3 linked regions of the Canis lupus familiaris genome follow. The protein of the gene in region 1 purifies or fractionates together with the protein of each later gene. This does not show direct contact. Links are inferred from orthologs where the notes say so. Each region holds a gene or a part of one and is shown on either strand. Other genes may lie near its edges.

Region 1 (3,644 bases):
AGCCCTGAGGGCAGGTGGTACATTGTGACACATTTGTACTAATTTCCAAACTGGATAAAAGACATGAACCCTTAGGTTCAGGAATCACAACCAATGGCGGGACAGACAGAGCTAACGCCTCCCTGCTTCACTGTGGTGATGCGACCCAGCACTAGAGTCAAGGAGATGCACCTGAGATCCCCAGGGGACAGGTCACTCACTCGGGGTGGCCAGAGAGCCGGACAGAATGTGTATGCTGGCCCCTGCAGCACACCTGCCAGTGTTCACAGGGAATATGTATCTCAATCCGACTGTTCCCCAACCAGACCACCACCCAACAGCAAAGGCAAAATATAAAGATTTCAGACAAATAAAAACTGAGTTGATTGTCGATAGATCATCACTGGAGGAACCACTAACCACTCAAGGCCCTTCAGGAAGAAGGACGTTAAACTCAAGCTCTGAAGTGGAAACCTAGCAAACCTGTTGGTAAATGTAAGCACATCTCAACCACATACAAGTGACTAACTCAGAGGATTGTTTAAAAAGACAAAACCTAAACAGAGGCCAACAGCAGCTAACATGGGGAAGGGGCGCAGGGTGGGATCCGGGGCACTGGGTGGGAGACAGGGTGTGGGGTGGGATCCGGGGTGCTGGGTGGGATCTGGGGTGCCAGCCCCAAGACAGCAGCTGGTGGAGCCCTGCAGGACCCTCACTATGTGCACAGCTGCCAACTGAGGGGAGGGAGGAGGGTGAGGCCTGGCAGGTGTGGCCAGGGGCACAATGCCCCCTGCAGACTGCACCCCACAAATTAGACTCACGAGCGCCAGGCTCTTCTGTGAACATACCGCACGCAGCCCCGGGCTCCGCGACAGTGCATCCCCAGCACAGCTCCCAGGACTTGCTCACCTCTGACGAGTGTGTGGTGGGAGTGAAGGCCTCTCTGTACCCGGCGCCCCCAGCATCTCACACTGCCCTACCCTGGAGGGTCGCACCCAGGCTGCCCAGGGTCCGCAGGCCCCTCTTGCTGGCTTTGGCTCCTCTGACCCCCCGCCCCACAGGGACCATGTCCCACCAGCTCGTCCTGCCGGCCTCCCATCCTCACCATCCTGGCTGAGGCTCAGAGAACACAAAGCTGACTGCAGCTCCTCCTGCTCTGTGGACTTCCAGGGCCCAGGCTGGCTGACACCTGCAGGCTCCTGGCACGTCGGCACCGGCACGCCAGGCGCCCACGTGGCCTCTCTCTCCACGAGGAGGGCAGGCTTGCACCCACCTCACACGAGGAGAACACGTGGCATCCCTAGGCTGGAGACCACGTGGAGCCGCACAGAGGCATGGTTGTCCCCCATCTCCATCCTGCTGCTTACCCCCCCAGCCAGCTCTACTCAGCACTGGCACCTCCTCCTCCAAGAAGCCTTCGGGACCACCCAGGCTGAGCCTGGCACCAATACCCCAGACGTCCACATGCTCCACTCCCTTGCTGGTGCCCATCTTCCTCCCTGGATGCCAAGGATCCCCTGCCACCCCCACCCCATGGGCCTCCACCCGGCCCTGCATGCAGGGGGGTCCTGAGAGCAGACTCCAGTGACCAGGACAATGTGAGCAGCTGGGGGCCTGGAACCTGCATAGGGATGGGAGCCTGCTGGGCAGGGCTCCCTCTGTCCACACTGCCTGCCACCACAAAGGGTCCTCCTGCGGGCCCTTTCCATGAAAACAGGAAACCCGCCTGGGAATCACAGGGGCACAGACGAGGCTCTGCAGGCCGTGAATGTGGGTGGGCAGCCCTTTCCCGGACCCTGGGTGTCACAGAACAGAAGCCCAGAGACACGGTGAGCTTGGGACATGGAGAGAAACCACGGAGCTGGGGAGACAGCTACAGGCCAGTGCTGGGATGGAGATGGCACCTGCCTCACATGCCCCCTGGCGCACCCAGATGCCACCCGCGGGCGAGGCTCAGGTGCAAGGCCTGGGTCCTGCCCGGGGGCGGAACTCAGCACAGCTGCTGGCGTCCTGCCGCATGGGGGCCGAGCGGCAGGCCCTCCTGGCGCTGCTCCCTCCCCCACCAGGGCTCTTGAGAGTCCCCGCTGCCACCCACGGGCTGGGGGCCACTCGGGGCCCCCGGGGGCCAGGCCAACGGCTCAGGCACGAGAAATGCCGCGGCTCCAGGCTGGGCTGACTTATCGCGTCGGCGGGAAAGCAAAACTCCTCCGTGCAAAAGCATTCCACAAAGGGCGCCTGACTTTCCTGCTCTCGTGCCTCGTTAACATTCCGCAGGCATCCCCGGGTACTTAATAACAGCAAACAGTCTGAATGGAGCGCTCCGCATTCAGCAAACAGCCAGAGATGCTTCTACCCACGGCCGACCTGCCCATTAGCATTTACAGAGAGCCCCCATCTGCATGGCGACAATGGTCCTGCCCCTGAATCCGGAGTTGGGGGGGGTGGGCATTTGTTGGCACAATTGTCCCTTGTGCCCACTCCGGGGGGCGGGCGGGGAGCGCGTCCTGGGGACTCACCAGCGAAGTGGCCAGATCTGAGCCAGAGCGGAATCCCAACAGCGTGTGATGGGGCCAGGATGGCCCCATGCCCAGTGGGGTGGGCGCCCCGGCCCGGTCCGCAGACGGCTCCGAGGAGCAGGGAGCGGCTGCAGCCCCTGCCTGGAATGCTTTCTGCCAGGGGGGCTGCGATCAATGTGGGGGGCACATCGGGGGTCAGCCGCCTGAGAATGGAGCACTTGGCAGGGTGGGCACCCATAGGCACAAAGGGTCAGGAACAATATGAGCCTGTCCCTCTGCTACAGTCGAGATGGTGACACTACCCTTCCAACTGCCGAAGAGCTGGCATGTTCTGGTGGGTGCCGGGCAGAGGATGACAGAAGAGCAAAGGTACATGGTGCCGAGGAATGGGCCAAGTGTGGGTGCACAGTGTTGGCTCTGATGCCCCATCCCCGCGCCACCAGGAATGGGGGGGGTCACATGTATGGGCCACCTCCTTGCTGCCAGCCACATGGCATGACCTAGGCAGGCCGGGCACCCGGCAGCACAGAGTGTGGGACAGAGCAGGACAGAGGGTCCCTCCAGGGTGGGGTCCCACCTCCTCAGAAGTACCTGCCTTTGAGCTGGGGGTGTGGGGAGGGCAGGACGTTGCCGGGCAGACGCTAGGTCAGGGGAGCCGAGCGCCTGTCCCTGTCCCCGCAGCACCACCCCGGGCGAGGGTGTCTCACCAGAGCTGTCACAGTTGTCCACGGAGAAGTGGTCTGGCCTCCGCTCCTCCGAGACGGGTTCGCACGTGATGTGGGGGACCGTGAGCATCTTCTCTCCGGGGCTCACCCCGTTGTCCTTGTCTTGTTTGAACTTCTTTCTCTTTACCTAAGATGATGAATAATAAGCTGGCGGTTCCCAGGCATCCGCCGGCCCCAGAACCCCCTGGCGGTCCCCGCTGGGCACCTGCCAGGGAACCAGACCTCGGGGGCCAAGTGCCGGCACGGTCGCAGGCAGACAGGGAGGGCCGTGGCGTGGTGATGCTGCCGGGGGCCCCGTGGGGGGCTCAGCACAGGCGCTGCCCGGGAGCTCAGGCTGAGGGGCGGGCGGACAGGTAAACGTCCAAGAGTGCACCAGGGCACGTGCTGACAAGGGCCGCAGAGCGACGGCATGTGGGGGGGGGGC
Region 2 (4,161 bases), on another chromosome or scaffold:
CCTGATTCAAATCAGTAAATAGGAGCTTGAGCTCACTGAGGAACCTCAACAAGACACACAAAAAATAAACAGTACACGCACTCACACAAGCAAAGCCCATATTTAATTCCTCTCTTTCTACAAGCTGGAGAGACCTGGGAGCAAGATCCTGTCTTGGCATCCCCCTGCAATGCTTCATCACCAGTAGTACTTAGAGCTAAAAAATCTTTCTGAGATGGGACAGAAAGCTAAGTGCGCTCCAAACACGCAACGCTTTCCATCAACTTCCAATGAAAATACAAACTCACTTTTAAGAAATGTGCTAGGTATAAGGACACCTAGTTTGCTAAGAGATGTGTAAGATAGCTCTTATGTAGCAATCAACATATCTTCACGTGTGATGTTCGGCAGCACACCAAGTGTGTGAACTGAAGTGCACTCATACTTAACACGCCTTGGAAAAACAACCCTGCCATTGGTTTCATGAGCCAGTCTGCTTTAAGAGCCTGTTAAGATCTTTCATTTGTTTTCTTACACAGACTAATTCAGGGAGACAAAACAAGCTGTGCAAATTCAACAATTTGTTAATATTCTACGAAGGCATTCCCTGATTTTCCAAAGGCTAACCCGACGGTGCGATACCTCCCATAAAAAAAGCAAACACCATAGAAATGTGAAGTCATCAAAAACAGTCTTGCCTTATTCCCCCCCCCCCCCCCCCCACTGGTAGAAGCTGAAAAAAGACAACAGATGCCACTTGTCTTTTGTAATCTAACGTGCGGAAGGAACTTAATAGTCCCAGCAACATATCCATCACTCAATCAAGAAAATGGCCTTAGCACCTTGGGCTGTTCCCCACACCAGCCCTAAACACCGGTCCAGCGACGTGCAGGAGTAAACCCAGTCATACACATACACACGTATATACACACACATACCAATTCTGTTTATATTCCACCCTTCGCTTTCACACTGGACACCAGTTAAGGAGATCTGAGTTAACTAAAGAGGCAGGATGTGCCCTAGGTAGATGGTGACACTAGATATAAATGTAAACAAAGAACACACAACAGGGGCACGCAGAGAATCCATTCATCAAGTTGAATTTCTCCAAACACTCTTAATATATTTTTCTTTGGTGCGCTAAGAATCATGTAATTTAAAATTTACAAGAGACCAAAGCTGAAGTGCAGCTGTCTTCCCCCCACCATACCTCAAAAAGCCCTTTGTTCAGGAATGTCAGTATCTCAGCACCTTTCTAAAAGCTCACTGCCTGCCATCTAGGGCTGCTAATTAAATGGAGAAGTACCGAATGAAAGGGAAAGCTCCTCAAAAGGGTAGAGGAGCCGGGGAGCGGGAGAAACCCCTGGGTGAAAGCAACAAGGAGCCTTTTCACCACCCATCCCCAGGTAACTGCCCCCCCCCTTCAAAAAAGGGGGAAATTACCTCGCCCTGAGCACAGCAGGGCAAAATAATCGAAAACGTAAATCACACATTATTTGCATTGTGATCATTCTTTGATAAAATACATACCGAGGCAAGCTTTAGGTAGCTCTGGCGAGAGAGAAAGAAAGAAAGAAAAAAAAAAAAAAAAGTCCTACCCCCAAACACTCTCTCCACCCCCAGGTAACTATTCCATTACACACTTACAAAGCACAGACACACGATTCCATTACACACTTGCAAAGTGCACACACGCACAATTCCATTAGTCACAAAGCACACACACACGATTCCATCACACACTTGCAAAGCACACACACACACACACACACGCACGCACACACACCCCCAACCAGGGCAGGAAAGCTGCAGAGAGAGAAGCCATCACGGGGCAGGTCCGGATAACAGCCTCTCCAGCAACCCCACCCCCAGCACCCGAGAAAGAGGGGACCTCGGAAAAGAAAGGAGGGGGAAGAAAGAGAAAGCCCGAAACCCTCGAATTTCCAGGCATCAACTTTTCATGAAACGCACGACCAGGAGAGGAAATACCTCCCCGCTGAGTAATGCACCGAGGGCCGTAAAGCGCCCCCGGGAGCCCCGCGCCCGCGCCCCGCCGACGGGCCCCCCTACCTGTCCCCGCCCTCCGGGGCCGAGGCGGGCGCGGGCGCGGGGTCCCCTCCGGGCGGGCGGGGGGGCGGGGGCCGCGGGGACACCTCGGAGGCCGCGAACAAAGCTCACCCCGCGCAGCCACAGCCTCGGGGGCGTGGCTTCCCGCATCTGCTTTATTAATAAGGGGGAGCGATTGAGCTTTTGTCTCTCCACCTACCCCGGGGGTGCCGGGCTCGGAAGCCGGGGGGGGGGGGGGCCGAGGAAAAAAAGGAAGAAAAGAAAAGAAAAGAAAAGAAAAGAAAAGAAAAGAAAAGAAAAGAAAAGAAAAGAAAAGAAGACATGGCAGGGCTGCGGGCTCCCTCCAAGTTTCCGGCGGCACCTGCCGCCCCTGGCCGCGCCCCCGCCCCGGGACCCCCGGGACCCCCGGGCGCGCCGGCCTCGGCCCCCGCCCCTGCCCCTGCCCCTGCGCGCACGCAGCCCCGGGGCGCCCGCCGCTCGGCCCCGGGAGGTCCCGCCGACACCCGGCCGCGACGCGCGGCGTGGGCTCCCGGGCCGCAGGGCCGAGCGGCGGGAAGTTGCCCGGGAGCCCGGGAGCGCGGCCGAGGGGCGCACGCGTCTCCGTCCCCGCGGCCCAGGGCGGCGCGCACCCCGCCCGCAGACCCCGCGCCCGCCGGGACCCGGGCGGCCGCCGCTCACCTCGTCCTCCGAAAGTCCGTAGATCGGCTCCCCGAGCCCGGTCGCCATGGAGCCGGCGCCCCCCGCGGGCTGCGGGGCGCTCCCGGGCGGCTGGGCCGGCGGCTCCTGCGCTCCTGCGCTCCTGCGCTGCTCGGCGCCCGGCCTGGCGCGTCCCGCGGGCGGGCTGCGGGGGGACCCGGGCGCCGGCAGGTGAGGGAGCCCGAGCGCCCGCCCCGAGCGCCCGCCCCGGCCGCCGCGGGCGCCGCTTCCTCCCGGAAGGCCGCGGGGCGGTGCAGGCAGGCGGCCCCGGGAGCGCGCCCAGCCCGCCGGCCGCCCTCCCCGGCGCTCTCCGAGCCGGCTCTCCGCGCGCCCGAGCCCGGCTCCCCGCGGCCCCCGCTCTCCCCGCCCCGGCCCCCGCCCCCGCCCCCGCCCGGCGCCCGGGGGGACCCTCCCCGCTCGCCGGGGCGGGCGCACGCGCCCCCCAAGCCAATCAGAGGCCGCGCGGCGGGGCTCGGGGCCCAGGCCCCCCCCACCCGCGGGGCTCGGGGGCGGCGCTCGAGGGCTGGCGGGGCGGGGGCGGGGGCGGGAGCGGGGGTGCGCCCCGAGCCGGCCCTCCCCGCGCGCGCAATGGGGCCGGGGCGGCCTGGGCGTGGGGGGCTGGGGGCGGGGGCGGGGCGCCCGGGGCGCCCCGGGCCACCCCCTTCGCGCTCCCTGCGCCCCGAGCCCCGAGCGCGCCGCGATGGTCCGGGGGGGAGGCGGGCATATGCTTCCGGACCCCTCGGCCGGCCGCCCGCGGGGGAGAGGCTGCCCCGGTGTGGCCGCCGCTCGCCACTGCCTGGGTCAGGCTCGGGGGCGCAGGCCGAGGCCGAGGCCGCGCCGCCCCGGCGCGCACCCGCCCCCCTGAGCAAAGCCGGCTCCGCTCGCCCGGGCGCCCCCGCGGGAGACCGTGCAGCTCGGGGAGCCCCCGCCCCCCGCACGTGCAGACCCGGGCGGGCTCCTCCCGCGTCCCGGCCGCGGTGCCTCCCGGAGCACATCCCCTCCTGGTCACCCCCAAGATCCATAGGGACGCCGCCGACGACTTTTAAATAAGCGAAAGAAATGCATCCCTCCACTTTTTCCGGGAAGCCTTTCCTTAAATTTAGCTGGTAAAGGCAGTTGCGAATTTTTGTCTTTTTATAAGCACAATATGCGATTTTTCCTTTGAAAAGAAGCCTCACTCAGAATGTCTACTTTGGAATGAACAGGGCGCTTTTAGAATGTTTCGAGGAAGAAAGGAGAACTCACGTGATCCATGAGCGTCCTTATGCCTGTTTCCAGCTACTTTGCTAAAATATCTGCTTGTGGGCCCTGCTAGATCGTTTTCGAAAGAAAATGGGCATCCCCCACCTTACCGCCCCCACCTAGGCCTCCCGGTGACACTGCTGTGGCTTAAAACCCTGTGCCCTGCGTCTGTAT
Region 3 (3,644 bases), on another chromosome or scaffold:
ATATCCATTGAAAACTGGAACAAGAATTTCACAAATCATTATTTCCTCTTTCTACATGTTATACACTCTATTGGTATAGAGTATTTGTTCTACTGTACTCTCTCATTTAAAAAAGAAAAATGCTGGTCAGGACCCCTGGGTGGCTTAATGGTTGAGCATCTGCCTTTGGCTCAGGGGTCCCAGGATCAAGTCCTGCATTGAGCTCCCCATGGGGAGTCTGCTTCTCCCTCTGCCTGTGTCTTTGCCTCTCTCTCTCTCTCATGAATAAAGAAATAAAATCTTTTTAAAAAAATTCTGGTCATTACTCACTAACTTCATCAACCATTAGTGGACTCATCAATTAACTTGTAATTGAAAATCACAGGACAGATTCTATCTGAAGAGGATATCAATTAAAAAAAAAAAAAACACGCACTTAATGTAATCTTATTATATTCAAACCCAAAGAACTCCTGAAGTGAAAAGTATGATATTCTTATTTAAGTCACTCTTTAAATTCTACCTTGTTCAACAGAGCAACTGAACAAACTTATGAACTACCTCATTCTCAAAAGCAGATCCATCAAGGGTGAAAGCCTAGAGATGCCTTGAACAGAGGAAGTCTAGCTAATTGAGTGGTTAAATAATATTAAAGATGAAAGTTAACTGTAACTAGCCTTCTATTTCAAGTCTTTACATGTTCCTGCTTCCCAAAGTGCCATCTTAGTTCTTTGGCCCATTATGCAGTCTCTTTGGACACTTCATTCTTTTCTCTGGACTCAAATGATCTTTTGATTCCAAATCTTAATCTTGAGCCCAAACCTCCCTCTTGTGTTTTAGACTTCTATTTTTAACTGCCTACTAGACAAGTCTTTTTTGAAGTCAATAGGTAATTTTAACTCCATATATTCCAACCTGAATTTATTTTCCCCACAGATTTGCTCCACATCCTCTTTTGTGACTAGTCACCTTCAATCCAGTTACCCAAACTAGAAACTTGGATCACTCTCAGTTTTTCTCTCCATCCTCCTCATATTAGCTGCAGACTATAGCCTACCTCTTTAATTCTTAAACTTTACTGTTATAAATATTATTGTTAGCAGAATTACTGCCAAAGTTGCTTAACTCGTCTTCCCATCACTAATCACCTCCCCCACCTCGTCCCATAGTGTTATCTTAAAGTAAAAATTTTACGGTTACTCCCACTACTTAAAATCCTTTTTAAGGATCTATTTATTCTATACAGGTCTTATCACCAGTAGCATAAAGCTTACACATACTTCAGAGTATATAAAGCCTTTTCTGATCAAGCTCCTGTCAATCTTTCCTGCTTTATCCCCCACTACTTTCTCACATAGCTTGAACTCTCAGTTCTCCAAAATGGAGGCAATCTCTCACACTTCTTTAACTCAGAAGCCTTCCCTAAAATTCCAACTCCCCTCCTCCTACCTGCTGCCTCATCCCACTCATCCTTCCAGAAAGTATAAGACTTTTCTCTATTACAGAAACTGTCCTATGCTAAGAGTTTATTTTTAAAAATATTTTATTTTATTCATGAGAGACACAGAGAGAGAGAGGCAGAGACATAGGCAGAGGGAGAAGCAGGCTTCTTCCAGGGAGTCTGATGCCGGACTCAATCCCAGGACCCTGGGATCACAGCCTGAGCCAAAGGCAGATACTCAACCATGAACCATGCAGGTGACTCTCTAAAAGTTTATTTTATATTGCTTTCCCACTTGATTTTAACTACTGGGGGGAAATGATTCAGTGATTTTAGATTTCTCAAGCACTTAAAAAAAATGTGCAAGGATTATATGAAAAAAATGAATCCAGGACTGGGGATATAGTTACCTTCTTCAATGGATTTTAAGACAAGGACAAAACCTGGAATGGTAGGTAGGCTCTAAGTGATACTTGTTTCATAGTACTTATAGGTTTTTTTTAGAAACCATTTACCTGTTTCTTGTGCTTTTATATTTTGTAGCTCTTGCTGGTGTATTTCCTGAAGTTCTTTTATCTTTTCCTCTTGGGCAGAAATAAGTTCCTCCTTAAGACTACAAAGAGCTTTATCTTTTTCATTTTCCATATATTCACGAACCTGATCCACATGTGTTGAATAAACCAGAGAGAGGCATATACGCTGAGCTTCCATCTGTAGCCTTAAATCATTCTTAAAGCGAATGTATGTACACATTAGAACATTTTTAAATGATTTAAAATTTTAAATAATATAACTTCTATTTCTTACATATACTGACTACAAGAGGGAAATACATGAAATTATAGTTTGAAACTTCACATAAGTCTAATTTTTTTCTCACTTCATTTTGTTACATTCATCTACCTATCTTTTCAAGGAAATTAGCACAATATTGTCATTATCTCAACTTTATGGTAAACTTTGATGTATCATATAGCTTAGTATGGCCTCATCTTTAATTTTTGTTTAAAAATAGTATTTTAAATATAGAGAAATGCAAAGAATAATGTAACAAATGCTTATGTACTCATACCCCAAATTAACAAATACAATTACTTCATTTTTGTTTTTACAAATAACAATTATTTTGTCTTTTTATTCTCATTTCTTTCCTTTCTACATACCTTTTTGGTTTAGAAAGAAAACAAAATTTAATCCACTATGTTCCCATTCTTCCTTCCCCAGAGGCATTCATTATCACAAATTTGCAACAAGTCCATTGCATTTCTTATACTATCACTTTCAATACCTATAAACAATACATTATATTGCATGTTTCTAAGAATTTACATAATGGTTCCAAACTGTATTTTGCAAATTGTTCTTCTCACTCAATATACTTCTAGGTCTAACCATGTAGATACAAATTAATTAAAATGTGGCATAGTACTTATAAATGCAGGAAAATTTGTCACCTTCCTTCTTGGAGTTTAACTGGACTATTTCTAATTTTTTGATATGTCAAAAATACTGCACTAAATTCTTAGAGATAGGTCCCTATACAAATACACTAGTGTTTCCCTAGTAGCGTGGATCTCAAACTTTAGCAGATATCAGGAATGCTTATTAAAATCGACTGCTGGATCCTTTCCCCAGGGTTTCTGGTTTAAGAGGTCTGGTGTGGGGCCCCAAATTTTGAATTTTACCCTGTTTTGAAGTGCTGCCGATACTGCTAGTCAAAGACCATACTGAGAACCACCTAGAAATGTAGCTGCTGGGTCACAGGGAATGTATATTAAATGTATTAAATTTTATCAAATTATTTTTTATATAACTATGCTAATTTACACTGATATTAACAGCATACGTGAGTATTCATCTCCCCATACTTTATTGTGGGACTCATTCTGCCAGTCTGATGGGTATAAAATACTATCTTATTATTTTATCAATTTTTAGGTTTGAAAGTATCTTTTCATGTTTATTAGCCAATTAGCTTGGCTGCGAGAGTAAAGTATTTTGGGGGGGAGTTAGTATGATTTCTAAGCATATTTAGATTGCTCTGAGGTGTTACTACTGAATAAATCATTGCTCTATTTCTTCTGTGAGGTCCCCTCCACACACACATTTTACTCCTCTCTCCACCAATAAGGCGGTTTGTCTTAGTATTGACAACTGGGAAGGGACAGTTGGCAGGTTTGCCTCCCTTTACTCTCTTTATAAGTTAATTTCAAGAAGGTATCTG

What was found.
Region 2: the proteins of KCNQ1 (region 1) and NEDD4L purify together in Homo sapiens (affinity purification with western blotting, with the first as the bait; 3 studies listed by BioGRID). This does not show direct contact. The link is inferred for Canis lupus familiaris from reciprocal best matches to the Homo sapiens genes KCNQ1 and NEDD4L.
Region 3: the proteins of KCNQ1 (region 1) and AKAP9 purify together in Homo sapiens (affinity purification with western blotting; 3 studies listed by BioGRID and IntAct, with this or other methods). This does not show direct contact. The link is inferred for Canis lupus familiaris from reciprocal best matches to the Homo sapiens genes KCNQ1 and AKAP9.

Annotation. Positions count from the first base shown.
Region 1 is NC_049239.1:47,059,502-47,063,145, reverse strand, and holds part of KCNQ1 (potassium voltage-gated channel subfamily KQT member 1), read right to left. Parts: intron 3,348-3,644; coding exon 3,203-3,347; intron 1-3,202. UniProt on the Homo sapiens protein: Pore-forming subunit of the voltage-gated potassium (Kv) channel involved in the regulation of cardiomyocyte excitability and important in normal development and functions of myocardium, inner ear, stomach and colon.
Region 2 is NC_049222.1:18,069,939-18,074,099, forward strand, and holds the start of NEDD4L (E3 ubiquitin-protein ligase NEDD4-like), read right to left. Parts: upstream 2,844-4,161; 5' UTR 2,776-2,843; coding exon 2,728-2,775; intron 1,983-2,727; exon of another isoform or gene 1,704-1,982; intron 1-1,703. UniProt on the Homo sapiens protein: E3 ubiquitin-protein ligase that mediates the polyubiquitination of lysine and cysteine residues on target proteins and is thereby implicated in the regulation of various signaling pathways including autophagy, innate immunity or DNA repair.
Region 3 is NC_049235.1:17,592,144-17,595,787, reverse strand, and holds part of AKAP9 (A-kinase anchor protein 9), read right to left. Parts: intron 2,150-3,644; coding exon 1,936-2,149; intron 1-1,935. UniProt on the Homo sapiens protein: Scaffolding protein that assembles several protein kinases and phosphatases on the centrosome and Golgi apparatus. Required to maintain the integrity of the Golgi apparatus. Required for microtubule nucleation at the cis-side of the Golgi apparatus.